Linked DNA regions of Oryzias latipes. The protein of the gene in region 2 interacts with the protein of the main gene of each other region in a biochemical or structural test. Links are inferred from orthologs where the notes say so. Each region holds a gene or a part of one and is shown on either strand. Other genes may lie near its edges.

The links.
Region 1: the proteins of dyrk1a (region 2) and dcaf7 form a complex in vitro, tested with the Homo sapiens proteins (2 studies listed by BioGRID). The link is inferred for Oryzias latipes from reciprocal best matches to the Homo sapiens genes DYRK1A and DCAF7.

Annotation. Positions count from the first base shown.
Region 1 is NC_019866.2:4,065,003-4,069,410, forward strand, and holds the start of dcaf7 (DDB1- and CUL4-associated factor 7), read left to right. Parts: upstream 1-1,478; 5' UTR 1,479-1,726; coding exon 1,727-1,864; intron 1,865-2,123; coding exon 2,124-2,282; intron 2,283-4,408. UniProt on the Homo sapiens protein: Involved in craniofacial development. Acts upstream of the EDN1 pathway and is required for formation of the upper jaw equivalent, the palatoquadrate. The activity required for EDN1 pathway function differs between the first and second arches.
Region 2 is NC_019871.2:12,328,003-12,331,652, reverse strand, and holds part of dyrk1a (dual specificity tyrosine-phosphorylation-regulated kinase 1A), read right to left. Parts: intron 2,557-3,650; coding exon 2,360-2,556; intron 2,103-2,359; coding exon 2,010-2,102; intron 1,694-2,009; coding exon 1,505-1,693; intron 1,343-1,504; coding exon 1,195-1,342; intron 1,106-1,194; coding exon 819-1,105; intron 694-818; coding exon 547-693; intron 327-546; coding exon 186-326; intron 76-185; coding exon 1-75. UniProt on the Homo sapiens protein: Dual-specificity kinase which possesses both serine/threonine and tyrosine kinase activities. Exhibits a substrate preference for proline at position P+1 and arginine at position P-3.

The DNA.
Region 1 (4,408 bases), on a different chromosome or scaffold from region 2:
ACTTTAATCTGTTAGCAAACGTAGCATTTGGCTAATGCTAGCTAAGGAAGCCTGACACACTGTCACGTTGAACTAAACCTGTGTTCTAGATCAATATAAAACTGCTATATATTTAGTGAGATTTGTAAACAGAGTGTAAACCAAAAATAATGAAGAAGCTGCCTACCTTGAGGATAAAGTATAGCAATGAACGCGAAGCTGGTTAGGAGAAAAGAACTTGAAACTGTCCTTGGAGTAAAGTTCCGTTTGAGACAGGAAACTGCCAGTGACATGACTTGCCTTTCAAAATAAAAGCAACGATGTAGAAAACTTTTTCCAGAAGTCTAGCATGTGTTCTCTTGCAGTGACAGATAACAAGACACACCAAGATTTCCTTTTTTTTTTTTTAAATCACCAACCAATAGAGTGTTTTTACTGCAAGATGAGTTGTCATTTGTATAAGAAAGTCTGGAGTGATAGAGAAGTATGTTTGAGTTGTTCAGGACATCCATTAGAGCTGGAAGACATAAGACGTGCTGTATGTGTGACAGAAGAGTTCAAGCTGGAGGTGAGACTGCACCATCAGCTTTGAGCTCCTTCTTGTTTGCTGTGATGATGGATGGACAAACTGGCAGATAAGGAACCTCTATAGATCGTGATGTTTGCAGTTGACATCACGATCTGAGCAGAGAGCAGGTGGAGGAACATCTAGGAGATTTGTTCTGGAATGCAGAGGAATGAAGATCAGCTGCAGCAAGACAAAGTTGCTGCATTTAAATGAGAGGAATTTAAGCGGAATGTTTCAGGGAGCAGAGGTGAAAAATTGAGGACTTTAATGGCCACTTGTTGTGGTAATTAAGCCATTCATTAACATACCATGGTTTATAAACTTTACATTAATTGAATTATAAATTGTCTAGGAATACTTTTGACAGCAACAAATACAAGTTCCTTTCAAAACCAGCTGACAGTGCCACACCGTCACAAGGAGGTTCGATATTTGGTGTGGTATACGATATTTTTTTGGACAGAAAAAGCAACTAAAAGGGCTCAATCAAATTGGAATAATCTTACTTCCGGTTCATGTGTCAAAATTAAACATAGAAACAAGACTGCACATTCGTTAGAAAGTAAACATTGACGCTGCATCGTATAATAAACATAAAATTCATTAGGATATGTAGACAAGATGTTACAAGAAAAACAATCTTGAAGCCTGTAAACTGTATTTACCCCCTTATGGTCACAACTGCAGACAGTAATCAAGATTGACGTAACTACATAATTTCGCTTCCGGTAGACACGTTAAAAATAAAACTATTTTGAAACACAGCCTGACAGTGAGAAATACATAGCAAAAAAATTACGTAAATTTTATTTTAATTATAATTAAATTCATAAAACACATGTTTAATTTAACAACATAAACTCAAACGTTCTCACTAAAAGTTTTAATGAGTGCTCTTTAAAAACTCTCTTTTATTTTGAAAGTGTAACCAGGAAGTTCTTCATACGTCGGTTAGATGGTTCGCCATCAAGATCGTAACAAGCAATGCTACTCTTTGTTAAGTGAAGTGCTGTAAAATCTTGTTTTAGAACAAGATTTACGTTTTTAACAGTCAACCGTGCTTCTTTTGATGCTTTTCTATTATAGGAAAACGAGCCGGTAAAAGTTCGTCGCGGCGTTTTCTTATTTGACAGTAAGCTAGGGCTAGCGTGTTAGCTGCTCAGACAACAGCTCGTGAGGATGTCGCTTCACGGCAAAAGAAAAGAAATCTACAAGTACGAGGCGCCATGGACGGTGTACGCAATGAACTGGAGCGTTCGTCCGGATAAACGCTTTCGGCTGGCCCTCGGGAGCTTTGTGGAAGAGTATAACAACAAGGTGCGTAGCTTGTTTTATGTTTTGTTTTTTGAGTCAGCTAACCCTTCACGAACAAACGCGCTTGAATCAGTGCTATGCTAGCTCTGTACATGTTTAGAGTGGTATTGCAAAATGTTATTGCGTTTATTATCTTCGTAATAACGTCTCCATCGATGCTTAATGGTACCCCTTTTTTAATTTAATTTAATTAATTAATTAATTTATTTTTTATTAGAACGAATCGCTTTTATTTTTTTCTTGTCATCATATCTCTACTCAGGTTCAGTTGGTGGGTCTGGAAGAGGAGAGCTCCGAGTTTGTCTGCAGGAACACGTTTGATCACCCTTACCCCACCACCAAGATCATGTGGATCCCGGACACCAAAGGGGTCTACCCAGACCTGCTGGCCACCAGTGGAGACTATTTGCGCATTTGGAGGGTAGGATGTCAAACCCCGGTCACCTGCTGCGTCTGTCATGTTTTTGTTTGGGTCATCTCTTTGTAACTCGAGTACTTTTCACTTTGGGATTTTTTTTTACATCGGTGTGTTTGAAGGAACTTATACTTGTCATGCTTTACATTGCCGCATCGCTGCTTTATGTGTTAAAACTCTTTTATATTAAAGGGGATTTTCAGACCTGTAAGCATAATGTTACAATTATCAAATGAAACTTTATTTATAGGGCATTTTTCATACAACAGTGAGTGCTTTATAGACTTGAAACAATCAAAAAAATAAATAAATTATAAAATAGATTATAGAACACATTTAAACATAAAATTACATAAATACAATTCAAAATAGAGACAAAAGTGAAAGAAGTGAGGAAATTTTATTTTGAAATGAGATAGAACTGTAAGTAAGTAAAAGTAAACTAAATGTCTGGAGCATTTTTTTTTAAATAAAAAGGTGTATGTTACCTCTTTATTTTCTTTTAAAAAGCACAGCATTTGTATATATTTTTTTTAAATTTCCCTGAACTATAGCTATAATGCTGAACCACTATGACAAAGGCTCCATGTATGTAATGAAACCTGTCGTTATACTTTTTTTCCTCCCATTTCTAACTTTTGTGATGCCTCACAGTTTCTTTTAAAAGTATCATTTGGCAGGTTACATATATGCCTGTTAATTGGCTTCTAACATCAGTTTAAGTATTTTTTAAAAACACACGCAATGCTGTTTATTAGGCCTGGGCGAAAAATCGATTGAATGAATTAATTCGAATTTTTTGTTACGGGCGATTTCAAAAATAACTGAATCGAGTTTTTGTGTAATGGCGCATTTTTGGCTCCCCGGAGCTTCCGTAGCGTTAGTTTCACACGGCAATGTGGCAAGCGACAAACAACAACATCATAGCACACACGAAACAGCAAGCGACAACATGGCTTACTGCCACCGACGTGGAGGAAGAGCCCCCCCCCCCACGCTGCAACATTTGCCTAAAGCCCATCGCAGTCAAAGGCAACAGCACCACAAACCTATTCCAACACCTGGGGGAAACCTTTTATTACAGTTCTCCTTCAATCCGTAACTCCAAACATGAACGCCCCCCCCCCCAGCACGCTGTCACTCACTCTCGCGCGGCACGCGCTCATTCCTCTTACACACGCACGCAGTGCGCTGACACGCACACTCATTCTCCAACACCTATATGGTTAGTTCATTAGTTACTTCGTAGTTAGTTTTTACTGTTATTTGTTAATAAAGAATACTGCGTTGCAATTATGAATTACATTTATTTGTGTATTCATTTGCGATGCCGGATGTTGTGTTAGGCGGGGGGGTTGACCGCGACTCCTGCTGCTTCGTCAGCGCGGTGATCAAAAATCCCACACCGTGACAGCTCTAGTTTATATCTTGTGGGACACAGAAAAAATGCGACTTTTCCAGTACGGATAGCAGAACCGTTGAGGTCAGATCTTGAAGAATGTTGCTCTGGGGCTCGTTCAATACGGGGGCTCAGTACCCATCCCTAGGGGCACGGTGGAGAACAATCACTGAAGCGGTCGCTTTGCATACAGCCAAAGACATGGTACCCATATATACTGTGGAGAAAACGGGCTTTATTAATTCAATTAAAACCTTAGACCCCAGATATGAGCTGTATTGTTAATCCTTTAGAAATGGTGCTACTCTCAAGGTGTAAGTCTGACTTAAAACACAGCTGGGACTTTGATTCCCGGAGTGTGTTCATTTATTTATTATTCATCCCAGAAATGGGGGTTACATTTGTCTTGCGTTTGATTAAATAAATCAAAATTTGCTTTAAGTTTTCTGCCGTTTGTACTTATTGCTTTCCTTAGGTAGGGGGGAAAATCGGAAAAAATCAGAAATCAATTAAAAACATTTTTTTAGACCATATCGCCCAGCCCCAGTGTTTATACATGCTTATACCATGGTCTGAAAGAATACTTAATTCTGATTGGCTGCTGGGTGTGGATATATCATTTTCCTTTGCCGCTCCAGTCGAGGTCACAAGACAATTTGCAGCACAACGTAAGAAATAGTCTGCTTTTTGTGAGAACAATTATTTAAACCCAAAAAATAGCAAGAATAAAGTA
Region 2 (3,650 bases):
TGCCCGTCGGCCACCAGGACCGCCCGTCTCCACACCTAAGATGGAGTGGAGCTTCCGCGAAGCTGGAGGCTTATACTACAAAGAAACCAAAGACATGTAAAGCTTTTTAATGTGCATATCAAGACATCAAACAAGACAGTTCCGTCATCAGCACCCATCAGTTGGCGTTAAAGCTGTCAACTCACCCTTTTGCCATCTTTGGTCTTCTTAACACTCCATGTACCATCTGAAAGCTTCTCAAAGAACTTCCTGGCTTTTGGGGCTAGGTCCATTATGTGATTGGGTGGGATGCCAAGAACCTCGACTATTTTGTTCATCTGGTCCACCTGAAGAAACCAAATGCATCTTTTAATAAGTATTTGCACTCATTATAAATGAGGGTAAATGTCAAAATGCTTCTAAGCTCTTGTAGGAACACACCACGGCTTACAAATCCAGTTTTAAGGGTACTTTTTTATTGAAGAACTACAAACAAGGTGACTTTTCGATATTCCTGTTATCAATAAGCTCCACATATGTCTTTGATATTTTTATCATGTTTTATACCTCATTGGCTCCACTAAATAGAGGCTCTCCGGTATGCATCTCTACCAAGATGCAACCCAAGGACCACATGTCGATGGCCAGGTCATAGGGCATTCCCAGCAACACTTCTGGAGAACGGTAGAAGCGACTCTGGATATACTGGTATATCTACAAACACAAAGCGTGGGAAGTGAGGGTGACTGTAAAGCGCATTGCTTTTGTTGAAAATTGCAAACCATTTCTCACAAACACACATAGACTGTATAGCAGATGAAATATATGATGGTAGATACCCTTTGTCCCAGTTGGCATGAACTGCCAAAGTCCACTATTTTGATGGCACTCCTCTTGGGGTTACAAAGGAGGATGTTCTCGGGCTTCAGGTCACAGTGGATGATGCTGAGCTCGGGGGTGGCCAGGAAGAGTAGTGCCGTGCATAGCTGCTGGGCAAACTTCCGGGTGAGATTGAGTGAGACGCCGCGGAAGTTGGTATTTCGAAGCAGGTCGTATAAATTATATGACAGCATTTCAAACACGAGGCAGAGATGGTTACGGAACATGAAGTGACGTTTCAGGTGGACTGCAAAGAAACAAAAATTGGACGCGTTAGTCGCTGACACTGCAAGCCGTTGGATTTGTTCTGTATGTGGGACATCAAAAGTAAATTACCAATATAGTATTTCATCTCCGTATCATGTTTGTTCATAAGCTCCAGAAGGCGCACTTCAATCTGGGCTTGATTAAGGAAAGCTTTCTTGTTCTTAATGATCTTAATGGCAACCCATTCTTGCTCTACTCGGTCATAAGCTTTCACAACCTGAGAATTGAACAAAACCAGTATTAAATATGTTAAAAGTATTATATCTGAAGCACATTTGTTACACTAAACATCAAGATTTAAAACCAAAAAAAGGAAGGTCAGAAAGCTGGAACCCCTTAGAAGTGGACAAATAACAGACTGTCAGTTTTAATTCCTCACCTGTCCGAATGATCCTTTTCCTATTAAGGAATCGATCTCATAGCGGTCCATCCACTTCTCCCCATTCTTGACGATGTAGTCATAGTTATCATCGTCATAGCCATCATTGAAAACCTTCCTCTCCTTTTTGTGACTGGAGTCTTCACCCTGACCCTGTTGGTGCCGCCGCTTCTTTTTTGCATAATAAACCTGAAAAAGAAAAAAAGAAAATTGAATGCATTTCAGAAAAGCACATGCAGAGATTTCTTCAGGAAATGTTAAATGTTCCTTTGGATTTTGCTCCAACAAATTAGGTTTTTCATGTATAAAATTCCTGTTTTTTTAAATGAATAATAATGTTTTTTTCTTATAAATTAAAAATATCTATCTTTATGAACAACAAATTCATAAAATAATAAAGACTACCAATTTAAAAAAAAAGAATGTTGAAATAGCAAACATCTTAAAACAAGGGGAAAACAAATGTCAAAGAATGATTTGAACTTTTACTAAAGCAAAGCCTCACCTCATTGATGTGTTTGTATGTTTTGATAAGGTCGATGGAGAGCTTCCTCAGGGGAGCTGAAGTTGGGTCACGAAAGCACTGGGGCATGTGCCTCTGAAATAAAAGTACAACAACATTTTACAAACAAACAAAAGAAACACAACTTTAGAAGTAAAAAGTTCCTCTTACAGGGTTTGTGTTTAAACTTCAAAGCTGTTAACACAATGTGACACAATTACACAGAAAGACATTTGACATGCAGCTACTCTGCCTAGTGATACTTGTTTAAAAAAAGGGAGCAAACTTTTGTGTGCAATTAAGTTTAGCTATTCCTGTAAATCCTAAAAGGGCAGTGGGAAGGGTGATTGTACCTGATTGGCAGTGAGCTGTGGTGTCTGGTCGCTGTACGGTAAAACCGTAACAGATTGGTCAGTGGTTGGCTGGTGGCGGTCACTGTACTGCTGGTGCGTATGGGGCATTGGAGCAGCCATCTGAAGACCAGCAGTGTGTAAAGAAAAAGAGGGCGCAAGCCGGACGGACGAAGGTTTGCATGCTGAAGTCTCTCCTCCTAAAAAGGAAATTAAAGTTCCCTTTAAAGTCATTGAACAGAGAAACATACAAAAGTGAAAAAGGAAAATAAAAGAGGTCATCAGAGATTTAACGCTACAAAGAAAGCCAGCAAGATGTATTATGTTATTTACAGGTAAAACAATATAATAAAGAAACATTATTTGTTGTTTAGATTTACAAAAAAAACTTCAGCTTAGTTTAAGATGAAAAGAAATTATCTATAGGAATTTATAAATGCAAATTAACAGCATTATTTACATTTGTGTTAATAATCAATCTCAAATGATGATAAACACCAACAAAAACAGCAAAATCTAGTAAATTAAAGAATTAAATGTCAGGTTTATACACAGTGCTATGTTAAACATGTACACGTTAAACAATGCAATCAAAGGACAACCCCAAAAAAATCAAAACACAGCAGAAATATGTCAACCTTTGTGAGGAAAAGGGGAAAAAACAGCCAGTTTAACAGTGAAAAGGGGTGAGAATACAGCATCTCCACACTGTACGGTGAATCATCCTTCATTTTAAGCCAGAAGGAATCAAAAAATTATTAAATAGCATGTTCAGCTATCAGCATCTCTCACCAGACAACACAATTCACCAGTGCTACACAGTAACCACTATTCAGAATCCCAGCAACAGCACCTAATTAGCATAGCCTATCACCACAGAGATACAGCGTGATTTGGCAAGCCCATCAACGCACAGACCAATCACAACGCAGTATGCAAATAGCCTACTTTTGTTGCCAGGGCAGAGCTGCTCCCATTTTCCAATGAGAAAACAAGAAATAAACAAGAAATAAAATTGAACTTTGGCACACTTAGACGTTGCTTTCAACACAAGAGCCTGACAGCAAAATAGCTGCACAGCCTAAAACCTGCACTTCATATGAGAGCATAAGAAAGCTGACCCAGCTTTAGAAAAGTAAAGAAATACCCGTCCACTGACAGAAATAAAAGGAGCTGTAAGATGAGCAGAGAGCAACACTATATTTGAGGTGCTATAAGGCGCTACGTATTTGACTTATTTTCTTATAAAATTTAAACACATAAGTGGGAGTCCTTTCACTTCTATTTTAGATAT